Lonchura striata: one gene and its partner. The protein of the gene in region 2 purifies or fractionates together with the protein of the main gene of each other region. This does not show direct contact. Links are inferred from orthologs where the notes say so. Each region holds a gene or a part of one and is shown on either strand. Other genes may lie near its edges.

Evidence for each region.
Region 1: the proteins of COPG2 (region 2) and COPZ1 fractionate together in Homo sapiens (co-fractionation; 5 studies listed by BioGRID and IntAct, with this or other methods). This does not show direct contact. The link is inferred for Lonchura striata from reciprocal best matches to the Homo sapiens genes COPG2 and COPZ1.

Annotation. Positions count from the first base shown.
Region 1 is NC_134629.1:8,453,500-8,463,933, reverse strand, and holds the start of COPZ1 (coatomer subunit zeta-1), read right to left. Parts: upstream 4,105-10,434; 5' UTR 4,072-4,104; coding exon 4,054-4,071; intron 3,173-4,053; coding exon 3,059-3,172; intron 2,770-3,058; coding exon 2,688-2,769; intron 2,467-2,687; coding exon 2,375-2,466; intron 2,137-2,374; coding exon 2,081-2,136; intron 1,858-2,080; coding exon 1,780-1,857; intron 556-1,779; coding exon 504-555; intron 166-503; coding exon 127-165; intron 1-126. Other genes in the region: HNRNPA1 (heterogeneous nuclear ribonucleoprotein A1), read right to left, coding at 8,327-8,382, 9,436-9,558. UniProt on the Homo sapiens protein: The coatomer is a cytosolic protein complex that binds to dilysine motifs and reversibly associates with Golgi non-clathrin-coated vesicles, which further mediate biosynthetic protein transport from the ER, via the Golgi up to the trans Golgi network.
Region 2 is NC_134607.1:71,934,189-71,945,003, reverse strand, and holds the start of COPG2 (coatomer subunit gamma-2), read right to left. Parts: upstream 4,965-10,815; 5' UTR 4,891-4,964; coding exon 4,854-4,890; intron 2,845-4,853; coding exon 2,792-2,844; intron 2,229-2,791; coding exon 2,148-2,228; intron 1,867-2,147; coding exon 1,795-1,866; intron 679-1,794; coding exon 599-678; intron 1-598. UniProt on the Homo sapiens protein: The coatomer is a cytosolic protein complex that binds to dilysine motifs and reversibly associates with Golgi non-clathrin-coated vesicles, which further mediate biosynthetic protein transport from the ER, via the Golgi up to the trans Golgi network.

The DNA.
Region 1 (10,434 bases), on a different chromosome or scaffold from region 2:
TCCCAAGGGGTTTCTGGGACTCTCAGGATTTTTTTGGGGGGATCCCAGGAGGTTTTTGGGGATCCCAAGGGGTTTTTGGGGCTCTCAGGAGTTTTGGGGGGTCCCAAGGGGTTTTTGGGGTCCTACCTGTGACACCGTCTGCTCTGTCAGGGGCACGTCCTCGCCCTGTGGGGACAGGGAGGGGACAGGGAGGGGACAGTGGGTGCCTGGAGCAGGGGGGGCACCCAGGATTCCCCCTCAGCTGCCCCCAAATCCCCCCAAAAACCCCAAATTCTCCCCAACTCCCCCCTAAAAACCCCAACTCCCTCCCAAGACCCCCAAATGCCCCTAAATTCCCCTGAAATGCCCCTGAAATCCCTCCCAATCCCCCACAAAAATCCCAGATCCCCCCCAAAAAAAAACTCAAATCCCCCCCAAAAACCAAATCCCTCCCAAACCCCCAAATTCTCCCCAATCCCCCCTAAAATTCCCAAAGCCCCCCAGTCCCCCCAGATCCCCCGTACCCGCACGGCCACGCGGTGCACGACCTGCTGGGGGTCACTCTCCAGGATGACCCTGAGGGGACACGGACAGGGATGGGACAGGACAGGGATGGGACAGGGACGGGGACAGGGATGGGACAGGGACAGGACAGGACAGGGACAGGACAGGACAGGGACAGGGACAGGGATGGGACAGGACAGGGATGGGGATGGGGACAGGGACAGGGACAGGACAGGGACAGGGATGGGACAGGACAGGGACAGGACAGGAATGGGACAGGACAGGGATGGGACAGGGACAGGGATGGGACAGGACAGGGACGGGGACAGGGATGGGACAGGACAGGGATGGGACAGGGACAGGGATGGGACAGGACAGGGATGGGACAGGACAGGGATGGGACAGGGACAGGACAGGGACAGGACAGGACAGGGACAGGACAGGAATGGGACAGGGATGGGGACAGGGATGGGACAGGGACAGGGATGGGACAGGGACAGGGATGGGACAGGGACAGGGATGGGACAGGGACGGGGACAGGGACAGGACAGGAATGGGACAGGGATGGGACAGGGACAGGGATGGGACAGGACAGGGATGGGGATGGGGATGGGGACAGGGACAGGACAGGGACAGGGATGGGACAGGACAGGAATGGGACAGGGACGGGGACACGGATGGGACAGGGACAGGGATGGGACAGGGACAGGGATGGGACAGGGACAGGGATGGGACAGGACAGGAATGGGACAGGGACGGGGACAGGGATGGGACAGGACAGGGATGGGACAGGACAGGGATGGGGATGGGGATGGGGACAGGGACAGGACAGGGACAGGGATGGGACAGGACAGGAATGGGACAGGGACGGGGACACGGATGGGACAGGGACAGGGATGGGACAGGGACAGGGATGGGACAGGACAGGGATGGGACAGGGACGGGGACAGGGATGGGACAGGGACAGGGATGGGACAGGGACAGGGATGGGACAGGACAGGAATGGGACAGGGACGGGGACAGGGATGGGACAGGACAGGGATGGGACAGGACAGGGACAGAGGGGACAGGGACACCTCAGCACTGCGGGGACAGAGCCCGGGGTGGCAGTGCCAGTCCCAGGGTGACAGTGACAGTCCCAGGGAGGTGACAATCCCAGGTAGGTGACAGTCCCCAGGAGGTGACAGTGGCAGTGAACAGTCCCAGCGAGGTGACAGGGGAGGTGACAGTGGCAGGGACAGGGACAGGGAGGTGACAGTGACAGTGGCAGTGGCAGGGACAAGGACAGGGACCCACCCTCCATCCACGATCTCGTCCACGGCCAGGAACAGCCCCTCCATGTTGTCCAGCAGCGCCCGGCGCTCCACGTTCTTCCTGAGACAGGGACAGGGACAGGGGACATTGGGGACATGGGGACAGAGAGATATGGGGACATGGGGACATCACGGATACCCCACAGGGACATCGGGGACACCCCACAGAACTGTCCCCAGGAGTGTCCCCAGGTGTCCCAGGTGTCCCCAGGTGTGTCCCAGGTGTCCCCAGGTGTCCCCAGGTGTGTCCCAGGCGTCCCCAGGTGTCCCCAGTGTGTCCCTACCTCAGCATTTGACTCAGCGAGTCGAACAGGCAGTTCAGCACGGCCGTCAGCATCAGCTGGGGACAGAGGGGACACGGAGGGGACACAGAGGGGACAGAGGGGACAAAGAGGGGACAGCGGGGTCACATGGGGACACAGAGGGGACAGCGGGGTCACAATCCACCTGGGGTCCCCCAGCAGCCCTGGGTGTCCTCGTGCCCCTGCAGAGTCCCCACGGTGTCCCAGCAGTGTCCCCGCTCTGTCCTGCTCTGTCCCCCCATGTCCCCCCCATGTCCCCGTGTCCCCGTGTCCCACCTCGTTCTGGGTGGCACTCCCGATGACGCAGCAGTACAGGTCGATGCTGCTCTTGTACACCACGGTCAGCCCGTCCAGCAGCGCGATCTCACCTGGGGACAGCCACACTGTCACCTGCGTGTCACCTGTGCCACCCCTGTGTCACACAGTGCCACCCCCGTGTCACTCAGTGTCCCCTCAGTGTCCCCGTGTCACTCACTGTCACTGCGGTGGGTCTTGCTGAAGATGTCCTGTGTCCCTGTGACCCCGTGTCACCCCCGTGCCACCCCTGTGTCACTCAGTGTCCCCTCAGTGTCCCCTCGGTGTCACTCACTGTCACTGCGGTGGGTCTTGTTGAAGATGTTCTTCTCGAAGGCGCGCTGCTCCTTCACGCTGGGGTACGTGTCATCGTAGTACTGGGACACAGACACGGGACGTCATGGGGACATGGGGACATCATCGGGGACATGGGGACACAGACATGGGGACATCATCGGGGACATGGGGACACGGACACGGGGACATCATCAGGGACATCGGCCACCCCTTGACACCCGTGCCACCCACCCTGGCCCTTGCCCAGAGCCGCATCCCCCTCAGGGCACTGTGCCCCTGTCCCCAAGGTGTCCCCTGGCTGTCCCCAGTGTCCCCTGAGTGTCCCCAATATCCCCCCTGGGTGTCCCCTGGGTGTCCCAGTGTCCCCACCTTTGCGAAGAGCCGCTCGCCGTCGTTGTCGAGGATGATGATGGCCTTGACCGTGTACAGGGACGGCTCCTGGGGACGGGACAGGACAGGGACAAGGACAGTGCCACCACACCCCTGGGGACAGGGACAGGGACAGTGCCACCCCCGGGACAGGGACAGCGGGCGAGCCTGTGCTGGGGTCACTGTCACCATGTCCTCCCCATCCCTGTCCCCACGGCCTGTGCCCCCCGTCCCTGTCCCTGTGTCCCTGTCCCTGTGTCCCTGTCCCCTGTCTGTCTGTCCCTGTCCCTCTGTCCCTGTCCCTCTGTCCCCTCCCTGTCGCTGTCCCAGCGGGTCCCGCGGTGCCGGGGGTGCCCAGGACCAAGTTCTGTGATGCACTGACTGCCCAGAGCCACAGCCCAGTGTAGGACAGAACCCCGGCCTGAGTGCCCAAATCGTGCCAACCTGTGCCAAACCGTGCCAACCTGTCCCCAAAACTGTCCCCAGAGCCACAGCCCAGTGTAGGACAGAACCCCGGCCCGGGCACCCAAACTCTGCCAAACTGTCCCCAAATTGTCCCCAAACTGTCCCCAGTGTCACTGCCCAGTGTTGGACTGAACCCCCCCAGTTCCCCCCGTGCTTCAGTTTCCCCTCAGTACCCCAGTTCCCCCCGTGCCTCAGTTTCTCCTCAGTACTCCCAGTTCCCCCGTGCCTCAGTTTCCCCTCAGTACTCCCAGTCCCCCCGTGCCTCAGTTTCCCCTCAGTACCCTCAGTTCCCCCCGTGCCTCAGTTTCCCACCAGGCCCCCCAGTCCCCCCCGTGCCTCAGTTTCCCCTCAGTACTCCCAGTCCCCCCCATGCCTCAGTTTCCCCTCAGTACCCTCAGTTCCCCCCGTGCCTCAGTCCCCCCAGTCCCCCCCGTGCCTCAGTTTCCCACCAGGCCCCCCAGTCCCTCCCGTGCCTCAGTTTCTCCTCAGTACTCCCAGTTCGCCCGTGCCTCAGTTTCCCCGTCCCTCACCAGCACCAGCGTCTCCATTTTGCCTCCGCCGCTGCCGACGTGGAGCCGGAAGAGCGCCCGCCGCTGATTGGCTGCTCGCCTGCCAATCACTCTCGTTGGCCCCACCCCGCCGGCCTGATTGGTCCAATTCTTCCTCCACCCCACCAATCGCTGCGCGCTTCCGCGCGGTGGGCGGACCAGTCTTTCCCGCGCTTCCCTAGACAGGCGTTGATTGGACGATCTAGCTGTCAATCACGGCTGCACGGCGCTGCCGGAAGCGGAGGGGGCGGCGCAGTTGCCATAGTGACCGGGGAAGCGCTGACGTCACCGCTTTACCGGGGCTGGGCTGATTGGCTGGCTCGGCGCGCACGTGACCGGAAGTGGGGCCTGTTCTGCTGATGGCGCCCGGAGCGTGTCACGGGGGGGGGGCGGGGACAGGGGGGAGATTTGGGGAGATTAATGGGGGCATTGGGGACATTTGGGGACATCTGGGGACATTTGGGGACATTTGGGGACATTTGGGGCCACTGGGGACATTTGGGGACATCTGGGGATATTAATGGGGCCGTTTGGAGAACAGCGGGGGACATTGGGGGACACTTGGGGACAGCTGAGGACACTTGGGGACATTTGGGGACAGGGGTGGCACCTCTGTATCACCCACCAGGGGCTGGGGACATCTGGGGACTCTGGGGGACAGCGGTGGCACCCCCGTGTCATCCGCCAGGTGTTGTGTCTGGCCCCTCCGTGGCTGCTTCGTCCCCAGCCCTGTCCCTGCAGTGTCCCCAGGGTGTCCCCAGGGTGTCCCCAGGTGTCCCCAGGGTGTCCCTGAGTGTCCCCAGGGTGTCCCAGGGTGTCCCTGAGTGTCCCCAGGGTGTCCCCAAAGTGTCCCCAGAGTGTCGCCAGGCTCACCTCCGAGGGCTCCTTCAAAAGGGGAAGGTGGCAATCAGTGATGGGGGGGGGTGGGACACCCTGGGGACATTCAGGGACACCCAGGGGACACTTTGGGGACACTTTGGGACACCTGGGGACACCCTGGGGACATTCAGGGACACCCTGGGATACCCAGGGACACCCTGGGGATACTCAGGGACACCCTGGGATACCCAGGGACACCCAGGGGACACTTTGGGGACACTTTGGGACACCTGGGGACACCCTGGGGACATTCTAGGACACCCTGGGATACCCAGGGACACCCTGGGGACATCTGCGGACACCCTGGGGACACTCAGGGACACCTGGGGACACTCAGGGACACCCAGGGGACACTTTGGGGACACTTTGGGACACCTGGGGACACGACAGTCAGGTGGGGCGGAGCCAGGCTGTGACTGACAGCTGCGGTGACCAATCAGGAGGAAGCAGCCACCCCCAGCTCTGAAATTAACAATGATGATAAAAACCAATTAAAAAAAAAACCCAAGAGACATTTATTGAGGGGGGGGGGTACAGGACACGGGGGGGTTCCGGCCGCTCCGCTCGGGAACTACGGGGGGACCCGGCCCCGGGGGTCCCGGGGGATTCCCGGAGGTCCCGGGGGGAATCCCGGGGGGATCCCAGGGGTCCCCAGAGGGTCCCAGGGGAATCCCGGGGGGTCCCGGGGGGATCCTGGGAGGTCCCCAGAGGGTCCTGGGGGATCCAGAGGGGTCCCGGGGGGATCCCGGGGGGTCCCCAGAGGGTCCCAGGGGAATCCCGGGGGATCCTGGGGGGTCCCAGGGGGGATCCTGGGGGGTCCCCAGAGGGTCCTGGGGGATCCAGGGGGGTCCCGGGTGGTCCCCAGAGGTTCCCAGGGGGGTCCCGGGGCTCTCCCGGCCCAGCTCCGGCTCCGGCTCCTGGGGCTGCCCCGGCTCCCGCCCAGCTCCGGCTCCTGCGGGACAGAGGGGCAGGGTCAGCACCGGGATCGGGATTTTGGGATTGGGATTTTGGGATTGGGATCGGGGCAGGGTCAGCGCCGGGATCGGGGTTGGGATTTTGGGATTGGGATCGGGGCAGGATCGGGGTCAGGATTGGGTTCGGGATTGGGGCAGGGTCAGCACTGGGATCAGGATTGGGATTTTGGGATTGGGATTTTGGGATTGGGCTCAGGGCAGGATCGGGGTCAGGATTGGGATCAGGATTGGGGCAGGGTTAGCACTGGGATCAGGATTGGGATTTTGGGATTGGGATTTTGGGATTGGGCTCAGGGCAGGATCGGGGTCAGGATTGGGATCAGGATTGGGGCAGGGTTAGCACTGGGATCAGGATTGGGATTTTGGGATTGGGATTTTGGGATTGGGCTCAGGGCAGGATCGGGGTCAGGATTGGGATCAGGATTGGGCAGGGTCAGCACTGGGATCAGGATTGGGATTTTGGGATTGGGATTTTGGGATTGGGATTGGGGCAGGATCGGGGTCAGGATTGGGATCAGGATTGGGCAGGGTCAGCACTGGGATCAGGATTGGGATTTTGGGATTGGGCTCAGGGCAGGATCGGGGTCAGGATTGGGTTCGGGATTGGGGCAGGGTCAGCACTGGGATCAGGATTGGGATTTTGGGATCGGGACTGGGGCAGGATCGGGGTCAGGATTGGGTTCGGGATTGGGGCAGGGTCAGCGCTGGGATCAGGATTGGGGCAGTCAGGATCGGGGCTGGGATCAGCACTGGGATTGGGATCAGGAGCAGCTCCGGTGTTGGGGGCTCCAGGAGGGGCAGAGCCCCAAACCCAGCTCCAGTCCCAGCCCCAATCCTGGCCCAAATCCCTGCCCAGATCCCATTCCCATCCCAGATCCCATTCCCATCCCAGCCCCAAACCCAGCTCCAGTCCAAGCCCCAATCCTGGCCCAAATCCCTGCCCAGATCCCATTCCCATCCCAGATCCCATTCCCATCCCAGATCCCATTCCCATCCCAGCCCCAAACCCAGCGGCAGTCCCAGCCCCAATCCCAGCTCCATTTCCATCCCATTCCCATTCCCATCCCTGCCCCAATCCTGGCCCCATTCCCAACCCCAATCCCTGCCCAGATCCCATTCCCATCCCTGCCCCAATCTTTGCCCCAATCCTGCCAAATTCCCATCCCATTCCCAAATCCCATCCCAGATCCCATTGCCAAATCCCATCCCATTCCCATTCCCATCCCTGCCCCACTCCCATTCCCAGCCCCAATCCCAGCTCCATTTCCATCCCAGATCCCATTCTCATTCCTGCTCCAATCCCATTCTCATTCCTGCTCCAATCCCATTCCCATTCCCAGCCCCATTCCCATTCCCATCCCTGCCCCAATCCTGGCCCCATTCCCAACCCCAATCCCTGCCCAGATCCCATTCCCATCCCTGCCCCAATCCTGCCCCATTCCCATCCCATTCCCAAATCCCATCCCAGATCCCATTCCCATCCCTGCCCCATTCCCATTTCCATCCCAGATCCCATTCCCATCCCTGCCCCACTCCCATTCCCAGCCCCAATCCCAGCTCCATTTCCATCCCAGATCCCATTCTCATTCCTGCTCCAATCCCATTCCCATCCCTGCCCCATTCCCATTTCCATCCCAGATCCCATTCTCATTCCTGCTCCAATCCCATTCCCATCCCATCCCATTCCCATTCCCATCCCTGCCCCGATCCCCATGACCCTGCCCGATCCCAGCCCCAGCCCCGCTGCAATTCCCACCTCCCCTTTCCCTTCATTCCCATCCTTTTTCCACCTTTTCCTGTTATTTCCCCATTTTCCATCACTTTATCTCCCAATTTTAACCATTTCCTCCATCTCTTCCCAGCTTTTTCTCCTTTCCAACCTTTTCTCGCTTCCCTCTTTTCTTTTTTTCCCCCAATCTTCTTTTCCCCCTTTTTTTCCATTTTCCCCAACCCTTCCCTTCATCCCTCCCACTTCATCTTTTCCCAACCTTTTTTTTCCTGTTTTCCCACTTTTCTGCCTGAAATCCCTCCCATCGTTTTATTTTCCTCTCCCTTCTCCCTGACCAATTCATAATTTCTTCTCCCAATTATCTTCCCATTTTTTCCCACATTCTTTCCCATATTTTCCCCATATTTTCTCCCCATTTCCCCATATTTTCCCCATTTTCCCATATTTTCCCCATTTTCCCCCAATTTTTTCCCAAGATTTTCTCATATTTTCCCCACCTTTTCCCCATATTTTTCCCTTATTTCCCCCACCTTTTTTCCCATATTTTTCTCCCCCTTTTCCCAAATTTTCCCCACCTTTTTTCCCTATTTTCTCCCAACTTTCCCCACCTTTTTTCCCTGTTTTTTCCCCCATTTTCCCCTCCTTTCCCCCCGTTTTTCCCCTCACCTGGCCGTTAAAACCTCCTCCCTCCTCCGTAGCTGCCGCCGCCGCTGGAGCTGCCGTAGCCGCCTGTGGAACCAGGAGGGGATTCAGGGACACCCAAAAATCGGGGGGGGACATTTGGGGACCCCCAGTGACCCCAGAGCCCTGCCAGGACATTCTGGGATCGCCCCAGTTTGTTTTGGGGTCCTCCCAGCACATTTTGAGCCCCCCCCAGGTTATTTTAAGGCCGCCCCAATACAAATTAAGCTCCCCCAAGGTGATTTTTGGGGTCCTCAATGTGGTTTTTGAGGTTCCCCAGGATATTTTGGGGCTCCCCGGGTGATTTTTGGGGACTCACCGCTGCCATAGGGCCCCGAGCTGCGCCCCCCGAAGCTGCCCCCGGGACATTTGGGATATTTTGGGGTTCCCAGGGGGGTTTTGGGGGTTCCCCAGGTGATTTTTGGGGTTTTTGGGGACTCACCACCGCCGTAGGGCCCCGAGCTGCGCCCCCCGAAGCTGCCCCCGGGACATTTGGGATATTTTGGGGGTTCCCCAGGTGATTTTTGGGGTTTTTGGGGACTCACCGCCGCCGTAGGGCCCCGAGCTGCACCCCCCGAAGCTGCCCCCGGGACATTTGGGATATTTTGGGGTTCCCCAGGTGATTTTTGGGGTTTTTGGGGACTCACCGCCACCGTAGGGCCCCGAGCTGCGCCCCCCGAAGCTGCCCCCGGGACATTTGGGATATTTTGGGGTTCCCAGGGGGGTTTTGGGGGTTCCCTAGATGATTTTTGGAGGTTTTTGGGACTCACCACCACCGTAGGGCCCCGAGCTGCGCCCCCCCAAAGCTGCCCCCGGGACATTTGGGATATTTTGGGGTTCCCAGGGGGGTTTTGGGGGTTCCCCAGGTGATTTTTGGAGGTTTTTGGGACTCACCACTGCCATAGGGCCCCGAGCTGCGCCCCCCGAAGCTGCCCCCGGGACATTTGGGATATTTTGGGGGTTCCCTAGATGATTTTTGGGGTTTTTTGGGACTCACCACCACCGTAGGGCCCTGAGCTGCGCCCCCCCAAAGCTGCCCCCGGGACATTTGGGATATTTTGGGGGTTCCCTAGATGATTTTTGGGGTTTTTGGGGACTCACCGCCGCCGTAGGGCCCCGAGCTGCGCCCCCCGAAGCTGCCGCCCTTCATGGGCCCGAAGCTCGAGGCCTGGTTGTTGTAGCTGCCGAAGTCGTTGTAGCTGCCCCCGCCCCCGAAATTGCTGCCTGGGGGGACAGCGGGGTCAGGGGGGACAGCGGGGTGACAGGGGGACACTGGGGACAGTCCCGGAGCTGGCAGGGACAGGGAGCACCCAGGGGTGGCCCCGTGCTTGGGGAATCGGCAGATTTGGGATCCCCGAGGCTCTGGGAGCTCTGAACTGGGAGCGCAGAGCCCAGGGGGCTTTAACTGGGATCCCAAACCCACCGTGACCCCTGGGGTCAGCAGATCCCAAACCCCTGGGATCTTCAGGATGGGTTCCCTGGGATCCCAAACCCGCTGTGGGTCTCGGCAGATCCCAAACCCCTGGGATCTTCGGGATAGGTTCCCTGGGATCCCAAACCCACCCTGCTGTGGGTCTCGGCAGATCCCAAACCCGCCATGACCTCTGGGGTCAGCAGATCCCAAACCCCTGGGATCTTCAGGATGGGTTCCCTGGGATCCCAAACCCGCTGTGGGTCTCAGCAGATCCCAAACCCCTGGGATCTTCGGGATGGGTTCCCTGGGATCCCAAACCCGCTGTGGGTCTCAGCAGATCCCAAACCTGCCGTGACCTCTGGGGTCAGCAGATCCCAAACCCCTGGGATCTTCAGGATGGGTTCCCTGGGATCCCAAACCCGCTGTGGGTCTCGGCAGATCCCAAACCCGCCGTGACTTCTGGGGTCAGCAGATCCCAAACCCACCATGGTCTTCAGGATGGGTTCCCAGAGACCCCAAACCCTCAGTGATCCCACCCCAGTGACCCCAGACCACCCATGATGGATTCCCAGAGACCCCAAACCCCAGAGACCCCAGACCCCAGTGACCCCTTCCCCCAAACCCCAGAGACCCCAAACACCCCGTGATGAATTCCCAGAGACCCCAAACCTAGAGACCCCGGCTCC
Region 2 (10,815 bases):
TGCTGCGTTGCAACCTCTTCACAATCAGTTTAATTTGAGATTTATCAGCATCAAAACCTGGGGAGATACTGAGCTATGACATGCCCACCCCATTGAGTTGCTTTGCCATGGGCCTGGTTTGTTCAGCTCCTTCTCTTTCTTGGGGCTGCTGCTTGTTCCACATGGAATTTTGATTTAGAAACAGTGAGCAAAGTTCTGTTTGGTTTATTTTATATATTTCTCAAGTTGTTCAGCAATCCAACAACAGATCCAATTTTTGCTCTTGCAACAGCTGCAATGTCTATTTTTGCAGTCAAAAAACTGAAGAGTTCAGCTGGGAAAACAAAGTGGGCTTTACTTTAATTGCTCTGACAGCAAAGTCACAGCCTAAGCTCTGCTAAAACAAGAATTTAAATAAAACCCCACCACCATAAATGGCAAGAAAACAAAGTAACAATAACAACCTTTTGTAAATTGAATTCTCCCCCCGAGTGGGAACAGAATAACATTTGAGAGGGTGGCACAGACTGTGCATCACATCAAAGCTCAGCACTGCAGCAGCTCATGCACAGGCAGGGAGCTGCAGCCCCTTCTCCAGAGGGTGACCCCGGTGTCCCACCTGCTGGTGACAATGATGACATCCTCAGAGATATTGGCCATCTCTTTGATTGTGAGGTAACACATTCTTCTGAGGGTTTGCTGTGGAAACGTGGAGAAAAAGATTAAACTCAGTGGTAAATACAAGTTCCAAACGGTAAATGAACATAAAAATTAAATGGTTCACTTAGAAAAATAAGCTTTCAAACAAAACACATTGCTTTCAATTCAAAGTTAGAAGTGTAGAACTACATTTGATCCCTGGGTAAGAGCCAAACTCCCTGACATCAGTATTTAGTAAAATGATAAGAACTAATACAAAAATCCATGATAATTATCAAAGAAGTGATGCAACACATCCGTACTCAGAAGCCCCACAATCATCAGTTATAAGCTTTGAAAATACCTTTGTTATTGTAAAAAAGAAATGGAAGCACATGTGGAGTGTTGGCATTGTCTTTGAAAAAAATTAACTTTATTTTATATAATATTTTAATTAACTTTATAATATTTATAAATACAATATTTATATAAAATTTATTTTATTTTTTTTATTTTATAAAAAAGTTAACTTCTAAAAATCTACTTTTTAAATGAGGATATGAGAAACATTTCAAACACTCTGTACTTCCAAAAACGAACAGCTACATCTTCCTTGAACAAATCTCTAACAAGCAAACCACTTTAAATTAAAATTAATGAGCCCCATCACATGAAACACACTGCTCTGAGTTCTCACACTCTGCAGAAGAGATCACAGAAGGACTTTACACTCTGCTGAGCCCAAAGATGAAATCCCAAATTCAACCCCCAAACCATTCTGTGATTTTTAGGGTGCTCCCATCCCTTGCCTCAATGTGATGAAGGCTGACCCATGTTCTAAGGAACAGCAGCCTTTGATCTGCAGGCAGTTTTAGGATTTCCAATTCAGCAGATGGCGATTTGCAAGGGGAAGCAACAAGTGCCACAGATTTGTGAATCCAGGCTTTGCCATTATCCCCACTTTTACAGCAGGAATTCACTCAGAACCCACCTCCACCCCCAACCCACCCCACAGAACAACCACAGGTTATTATCCACTCCTCTGTTTCCAAAGCTGGAACTGCCTCCAGAGCTCCTCCTGTGCACTGCTTGCCTCCCACATCCCAAATTCCAAAGGTTTGGCAGCTCCTGCAAGCCCAGGCAGAAGCAGGGAGAGGCAAAGCACCAGGTCCTTACGTCGTTAGACTGAAACAACCTGGTCATGGCAAAAAAAGCTTCCGTGGCTTCCGTGGTTCCGAAGTGTTCACCCTGGAATTGGCAGAGAGGAAAAGCAGGAATTATCCAGCTCCTTTTGCTAATGCCCTCCCACACAGCAGGAATCTCTCCTTGGAGACTTTCTCCTGTAAGAAACCATCCTTGCATTCCCAGGGAATTCACAATTCTCTCCACTCTAAATGCCCTCCACAGGGATGGAAGCTTCCCAAGGTGTTTTCCTTGTGGAAAACTTCTTTCCCTCTAAAAAGATTATATATTTCCCACTAAAACATTATTAAAATTCATTCTGGATGGAGAGAAATCCTAACAGTTACCTGGTTCAGCAGGTAGAGGATCTTGGTAAGGATGTGGAGGCATCTTCGTGGGTTTATTGGGGTTTCATTGAAGAGCCGTGCCTGGAAATGAAACAAATTCTGCTTGAATAGATCCCAATAATAATAACAATTTTATTATTATTTCTCTTTCAACATCAAAATTAAATGAATCTGTTTCCAGATGAGCAGCTTGTAATATGTATTTGTATTAAATATGAGTCTCAGAGAATGTGCAGAATTAAATGAATGTTTCCAGCTGAGCAGCTTGTAATTTTTATTTCTATTAAATATGTGTCCCAGAGAATGTGTTCTTGCATCTTTCGTTTGCAGCAATCTGAACAAAGCACAAACAACTCAATTTGCCATCTGGAACAGGCAAAAATGCCTGAAAATAAAACATTTTTTGTCCAGGAAGAGCCCCCTGAGATGCCACATGTCCATATGGAAGGCAGAAGCCACGTGTCATCTAATTATCCTAAAAAAAACCCTCATTAACTGCAGATAAAATTAATTTATTTACACTCTCTGTGATTTTTATTTAATTCTATGAATTTAGCCATCCACATTTCCCCACAATCATTCTGCAACGCTTCCTGAAGGAAAAGATCATTAATGAAATGGCATTATCCTGTGATTACTCCTACCTCCTGAAGCACAGCACTCTTCTCCAGATGCTGGAAAGGATTGGAGCCACTCCCTGAGGAAAAAAAAGAGACCTCTCAGTTGAGGAAAAAAAATTAATTCCTCACACATCCCAACTGGTCTGGACAGGCAGGAACACCCCCAAAATTTTACCAAACCACCTCAAACCAGTGATGTTCCTCTCTGAATAATTGATGTTGGCCATCAACAGCTTTAAATCCACTTTCTTAAGTGATATATTCAGAGTTATAGAAAGAAGGTAAAAAATAAAAAAAAAAAGGAGAGGAAGAAGAAAACTGTTATTTAAAATGCCTTTTATATACTTAATATTTTTAATACCTAAATGGCCTTTACATAGAACTAATTCCTTTTTCTACTTTCCTAATGTACCTGTTTTTATTCCTTCAGGCACCAAAAGCAGAGATGCAGATCAGGATGTGAAAAAAAACTTTTCAGCCACATTAGTCCCACCCACAGCCTCACTTCTGCTCCCGATCCTCTCCTCCCAAACAGGAATTCCTCATTTCCAGTTCACTTAAATAATGTTTTGTAACCAAACAAAAAAGTCCACATTACAAACTCCAAATAATTAGCTATTAAATTAAAAGTAAAAATAATTTAAATATAATTTCTTAATTAAATAATTTAACCTTAAAAAAACCTTACCTAAAAAAAAAACAATTAATCATTTTATAACTTATTAATAAAATATCATAAAACTCACAACTTATAATATCAATGTAAGTCCCTGGTGTGAATTCCAGATACGCAGGCACAGCTCAGACAGAGAAAGTTTGGAAAGGCTCCTCTGAAACATTTTGGATTTTGCTTTGTGCAGCAAAATGACTAAAAAGAGAGGTTTCTTTTCTTTCCATACATCAGCTCACCGTTCAGGGTTAGGGTTATTATTTAGGGTTTATTATATAAATACATAGGGTATGTGTGTTATTATGTTATATAGGTTTAGTATATGTATATAAACACATGTAATCAACTCTCCTTTTTTTGAGGGATGAAACATCTGCACTGAGCAGAGACAGGGATAAAATCCTCTCTAAAAATCATCTGTGGATAAAGGGAGAGCAAACAGACCCCAATTCCTCTGGATTTGTCACCAGAGGGGAGAAATATTTCGGCAGTCAGTTCTTACAGCTGAAACACAAATACCCCACGAGCTGTGAGAGATCACAGACCCACGGGATGGCTCGGAAGGAGATTTAAGGATCATTCACTTCCACCTCCTGTCATCAGCAGGGACACCTTCCACTATCCCAGCCCGCTCCAGCCTGCTCTTGGCCACTTCCAGGGATCCAGGGGCAGCCACAGCTGCTCTGGGAATTCTATTTCACCTCAGCATCCCTCTCCACTTCAGCCATTCCCTCACCCCTCAGCCATTCCTTCCCCTCAGCCTCTCCCTCAGCATCTCACTCACCCCTCAGCCTCTCCCTCACCTCAGCATCCCCTCAGCATCTCCCTCACACCTCAGCATTTCCCTCACCTCAGCCATTCCCTTACCCCTCAGCATCCCCTTAGCAATTCCCTCACCTCAGCATCCCCTTAGCAATTCCCTCACCTCAGCACCCCCTTAGCAATTCCCTCACCTCAGCATCCCCTTAGCAATTCCCTCACCCCTCAGCCTCTCCCTCACCCCTCAGCAATTCCCTCCCCCAGCATCTCCCTGCCCTCAGCATCCCCCTCCCCTCAACTCAGCCTCTCCCTCACCTCAGCCATTGCCTCACCCCTCAGCATCTCCCTCACCCCTCAGCCTCTCCCTCACCCCAGCTCAGCCTCCCCTCACCTCAGCATCTCCCTCAAACCCCTCAGCATCTCCCTCACCTCAGCCATTCCCTTAGCAATTCCCTCACCTCAATATCTCCCTCACCCCTCAGCATCTCCCTGCCCCCAGCTCAGCCTCCCCTCAGCTCAGCATCTCCCTCACCTCTCTCATCTCCACCCCGCTGTCACCTCGGCATCCCCCTCACCTCTTCCCCCGCTGTCACCCCAGCACACCTCAGCCCTCTCCTCGCCCCAGCACCGCTCTCCTCACCCCCAGCCCCCCCGTACCGGACTCCTCGTCCTTTTTATCGAACTTCTTGATCATGGCGGCCCCGCTCCCTCCGAGCGCCGCCGCCTCAGCTGCCCCGCCGGAAGCCCCGCCCCACCCCGATCTCTGGCACCTGATTGGATAGCCCCGCTGTCAATCAAACTCAAGCCAAGCCACGCCCCCACCCGCGCGCTGAAAGGGCGGGGCCAGAGCGAGGGCGCGTCTTAAAGGAGCCGCGTCGTTATTTTGTGAGGGGAGCGAGGTTGCGCTGGCGGGCGGAGAGAGAAATTAATGAATAAATGAATAAATGAATAAATATAAACTATCTGCGCTCCTGGCTGAGAAACAGGGACTCGTGTGGGGTTTACAAGGAATTTCCATTGAATTCACATGGAATTCACATCGAATTTACACCGAATTTCCATGGAATTCACATGGAATTTCCATGGAATTCACACGGAATTTACATCAAATTCACACGGAATTTCCATTGAATTCATATGGAATTTCCTTCAAATTCACACCGAATTTCCATTGATTTTTGCACTGAATTTCCATCAGATTCTCACGGAATTTCCATTGAATTCACACGGAATTCACATCAAATTCACACTGAATTTCCATCGAATTCACACTGAATTTCCATCAAATTCACACGGAATCCACATCAAATTCACACCGAATTAACAGAGTTGTATTAATTTTTATGTGAGATTGAAAATGGAATAAAAGTTCTTAAAATGCTTTTTAGTGGTCTCATTTTGGGGTTAGAAATGGGTATATTCTGATAAATTTATTTTGGAATTATTCCTCTTCCTGCAGGTGGCTGAGATTACAAAACCAAGGTGAGGTGTTGTTTTGTGTGAGGAAAAACAGGTTTTTTTTGGAGTATAATAATAAGGGTTTTTTTGAGTAGAATAAAAAGGTTTTTTGGAGTATAATGTTGTGTTTGGTATTTTTTTTTTAAGAGTGTCAGTGATCTTTTAAAGGGTTTTTTGAGGTTAAAATGTTAAAATTCTAGGAGATTTGATGGTGTTCAAATGAGATGTATTATATATTATATTAAATATTATATATAGCACTTATTACATGCATTATTATAATATATAACGTTTTCTATATTGCAATATATTAAATGTTGTGTTTATGATATTGTTTAGTATAAGTTATATTTTATTACATAGTATTATTTATTAAATGTGTTATATATTATATACTATGTATAACGTTAGATATATTACATATTGCAATATATTATGTAATGTGATAAAATGTGATATAATGTAATGTAATGTAATGCAATGTAATATAATATAATATAACATAATATGATATAATACATAATATAATGTGATATGATATAATGTGATGTGATGTGATGTGATATAATATAATGTGATGTGATATAATTAATATAATATAATATAATATAATATAATATAATATAATATGTAATACAATGTAATGTAATGTAATATAATATAACATAATATGATATAATATTATATTATATAATATAATGTGATATTATATAATATGATACGATATTATATTATTAGAATAGAATAGAATAGAATAGAATAGAATAGAATAATTTTATTACTTTATATTATTTTATATTTTACTTTTTATGATTTAATTTTATTTATTATTTATTATATATTATTTAATATTTATCATTTAATACTTATTATTTTTATTTATTATTATTATATTTCCCATTTCATTAGCCTCTCCGCTGAGATTACTCTCTCCTTCCTCAACACTTTACAACCCCCCCAAAAACCTGGGGCACAACAGAACCACCAAAACCCCCAATTTTAGACCCCCAACCTTTTTTTTAACCCGGGAACCTCCGGGATTGGCTTTTCCACGGCTGGGCAGCAGGAGCAGGCCATTTACCCCAGGATTTATCCCCCCAGGACAACGAGGGAAAATCAAACCCCCGCCAGGGATTCTTCCCCAAATTTCCTCCCACCTCCAGAAGCTCAAAGCTCTTTTTGCCACGCTCCCAACTCTGCATTTTCCACTTGGATTTTCCTCATCTCAGCCAGCTGCCGGCACAGGAACTGCTCCCAAACCAAATCTCAAAGCAAATCCCACAAACAAGTTTTTCCTGCAGTTTTTCTCCCTCCGGAACAACTTCAAGCGCTTGTAGAGGTCGAGGAGAACAGCGCAGCTTTAATTCCAAGGGGAATATTTGGATTTTATTTCCAAGTTTTCCCAGTGATTTAGCACGGATTCAAGACCCCCAGCCTATCATAACTCACAGCAGAGCCAAGTGGAATTTGATTATTGCTGACTTTAAAGATAAGCTTTAAAAAGGAAAGATAAACTTTCACCGTGAAAGTAAACTTTCAAAAGGAAAAATAAAATTTAAAAGGGTTTCCCCAGCTGACTGGAATTAATTCTAGAAAGCGGAAAAGGAACCAAATCCCACGTGATGGACATTTATTTATTCCTAGAAAGTGAGGGTGGAAAATCTTCCCTCTTCCTTCTCGCCCCTCAGAGAATGCAAAAAGGTCCAAATTCACTTTTGTTTTTTTTTTTTTTCAGGAGAATCCCTCTGGGAATGTTATTTACAGGGAAAAGGGGACGTGTCCAAACCTCCAGCTGGAATTTTCACAACCTCACGTTTGGCTCAGTGCTCTTCCGTCCTCGAATAATTTAATCGCAATTTTCACAACCTCACGTTTGGCTCAGTGCTCTTCCATCCTCAAATAATTGAATCGCAATTTTCACAACCTCACGTTTGGCTCAGTGCTCTTCCGTCCTCGAATAATTTAATCGCAATTTTCACAACCTCACGTTTAGCTCAGTGCTCTTCCATCCTCGAATAATTTAATCGTAATTTTCACAACCTCACGTTTGGCTCAGTGCTCTTCCGTCCTCGAATAATTGAATTGCAATTTTCACAACCTCACGTTTGGCTCAGTGCTCTTCCATCCTCGAATAATTGAATCGCAATTTTCACAACCTCACGTTTGGCTCAGTGCTCTTCCGTCCTCGAATAATTGAATTGGCTCAAATAAAAGCTCGGGACCAAAATCTGCTCATTCTCTTTGGGAAAAAGCTGATTCTCAAAAACATCTGAGAACTGGAAGTCCCCAAACCAGATGCCGAGACCTTGAGCGACCCTGTGGCCAAAATCCCCCGGCGTGGTTTCACAGCTGGCTTTCCCCTCGCACCGAAAAGGAGCTGAAGTTCCAAAAAATCCCGCCGGAGATCCCCCGAGGTGGCCACAGCTCCTCTGGCTTCCTCAGCTGTGGGGTCACGCTTCTGCCACCCCAGCAGGGACACATTTCCCTTGGAAAGTTCTGGAAAGGTTGGAGTCGCTCCAGGCCGAGCTCATAAATGCAGCAGTGGCTCCTTCCCACCACCTCGTTTTTACCGATTCTGACAAATTTCAGCCAAAAAAGGAAAATTTTGGTGGTAAAACCGTAGCAAGTGTTACATGCGGTGTGTTTTAGCTTTTATGAGTGCGTGACGTTGATGGCAATGCTTAGCATTGGATCTCCTCCTTCTCCTCTTCTTCTCCTCCTTCTTCTCCTTCTCTCCTTTTCTTTCTCCTTCTCCTCCTCCTCCTCCTTCTCCTCCTCCTTCTCCTCCTCCTCCTTCTCCTTCTTCTCCTCCTTCTCCTCCTCCTCTCCTTCTCCTTCTCCTCCTCCTCCTTCTCTCCTTCTCTTTCCCCTTCTCCTCCTCCTCCTCTCCTTTTTCTCCTTCTCCTTCTCCTCTCCTTCTTCTTCTCCTTCTCCTCCTTTTCTCCTTTTTCTCCTTCTCCTTCTCTCCTTCTCCTTCTCCCTCTCCTTCTCAATTTCCTCCTCCTCCTCCTTCTCTCCTTTTCCTTCTCCATTTCCTCCTCCTCCTCCTTCTCTCCTTTTTCTCCTTCTCTCCTTTTTCTCCTTCTCTTCTCCTCCTCCTTTTCCTTCTCCTTCTTTTCTCCTTCTCCTTCTCCTCCTCCTCCTTCTCTCCTTCTCCCTCTCCTTCTCCTTTCCTATTCCTCCATCTCTCTTTTTTCTCCTTCTCCTTCTCCTTCTCCTTCTCCTTCTCCTCCTCCTTTCTCCTCCTCCTTTCTCCTTCTCCTCCTTCTCCTCCTTGTCCTCCTCCTCTCATAAAAAAAAAACAAAAAAACTCATAATTCCCATAACACAAAATGTTACCATAGGATTTTTTTCCTTTCTCCATCCCTCTTCATTTCCAAGGTGTGGGACTCAGATTCAAAGGAAGAAACAGAGTTTCTAGCCAGGCAGAAACCTGGGAAAGTGCTGGGAAAGAATGCAAATAATTCTTTATTTCTCTTGTTTTTCACATTGTTTATAGTGAATTTCTATCACTGTGCGTCAAGCACTTTGCACCAATGCTTTGGGTTGTTTTCATTTCAGAACCAATGGAGTTGGTCCTCACAAAGCTCTGTATAAAGAGCAGTGTATTTTGAATAAATCGGAGTTTTACTCTCACAGCCTTCTGGTCAGAGTCTTCTCATTCCCATCCTGCCTCGACAGCGACACCAAGGCAATATTTTGACTTTTCCAGGTGCCTCCAAGCACAACGCGCAGCGCTGCTTTGGGACAGAATCCAGGCCCAGCAACTGCTTCTTGCTGCATTAATAGTAGGTAATTAAAATGGAAGTAATGAACCTGATGGGAAACCATCCCAGGCTGCCAACCTGAGCTTTACGAACTATTTTTTGGGATTGTTTTCCCCGAGCACATGGAATTATCAGGGATGAATCACAAATACTTCTGAGAAGACGAACTCACGGCCTGAGCACGTTTTGTGCGCTCTGTGCAAGAACCTGTGAGAGCTGATAAGAAATTAAATCCTGCTGAAATCCTCACAGGAAAACAAAAGTTGGAGTTTGGCCCATTCTGCTCCTTGAGGCAGGGTTTTGGTTTCTCTTTCTGGAAAATGAATTCAAAGGAATATTTTTGCCCTAGAAGGAGATGGATCCATCCAGGATGGGTGTTTGTCTCCCTTTGGACACTGGACTAATTTCTAGTCCTGACCTAAAATCCAGCTTTTTTTTACCCAAAAATCTCCAGTTCAAGAATCACATCCAACAACACAACCCCTTCCACGAGCCACATCCATGGAGAAACCTGGAATTCCTCAACCACTTCCACTTGTGGTGCTGCATCCCCCCAGCTTCCCCTTCCTTGGAGCTGCTGGGGGGCCTCAGGAATTCCCACCTGGATGGTGAAGTGTCCCTTGACCACACCAGGGACTTGTGCATGGAAAAGGTTGGAGAATTGTCCCTGTCAAGCGCCCCAGTTGCCTGAGCAAGGCGAGGAACGAGAGATAATCCCTTATTTCCTGAAGGCTTTGGAATATCACAGCCTGGAATCATCCCAAGTGGAAAAGTACCATTGTTAGCAGAGCTTTGAAAAGAAAACCTCCAGGAATTCCCAGCTTGGGTGGAAACTTCCTGATTACTTATGGGAAATCATGGAATCATAGAAGGACTTGGAAAGGATCTTAAGGATCACCCAGTGCCACCCCATCCATGGCAGGGACACCTCCCACTGTCCCAGGGGCTCCAGCCCCAGTGTCCAACATTTCCTTGGACATTCCAGGGATCCAGGGGCAGCCCCAGCTGCTCTGGCAATCCCAGCCCAGCCAGGAATTCCTCATTCCCAAAATCCCATCCCTGGCTGCCCTCTGGCAGTGGGAGCCATTCCCTGGATCCTGTCCCTCCATCCTTGTCCCCAGTCCCTCTGCAGCTCTCCTGGAGCCCCTTCAGGGCCTGGAATGTGCTGGAAGCTCTCCCTGGATCCTTCCCTTCTCCAGGGGAACATTCCCAGCTCTCCCAGCCTGACATTGGATCCATCTCCTCTCCAAGAAATTCATGGACCCAAGGGCTTCACTTGGAATCCCAGGAAGCCATGAAGGGTCTCCTTTCCCTTTTCCTTTCTTTTCTATCCCCATTTTCCATAAAAATCCCTCGGGATGGATCCTGAGTGTCCCAAATCCCAGAATCCTGGA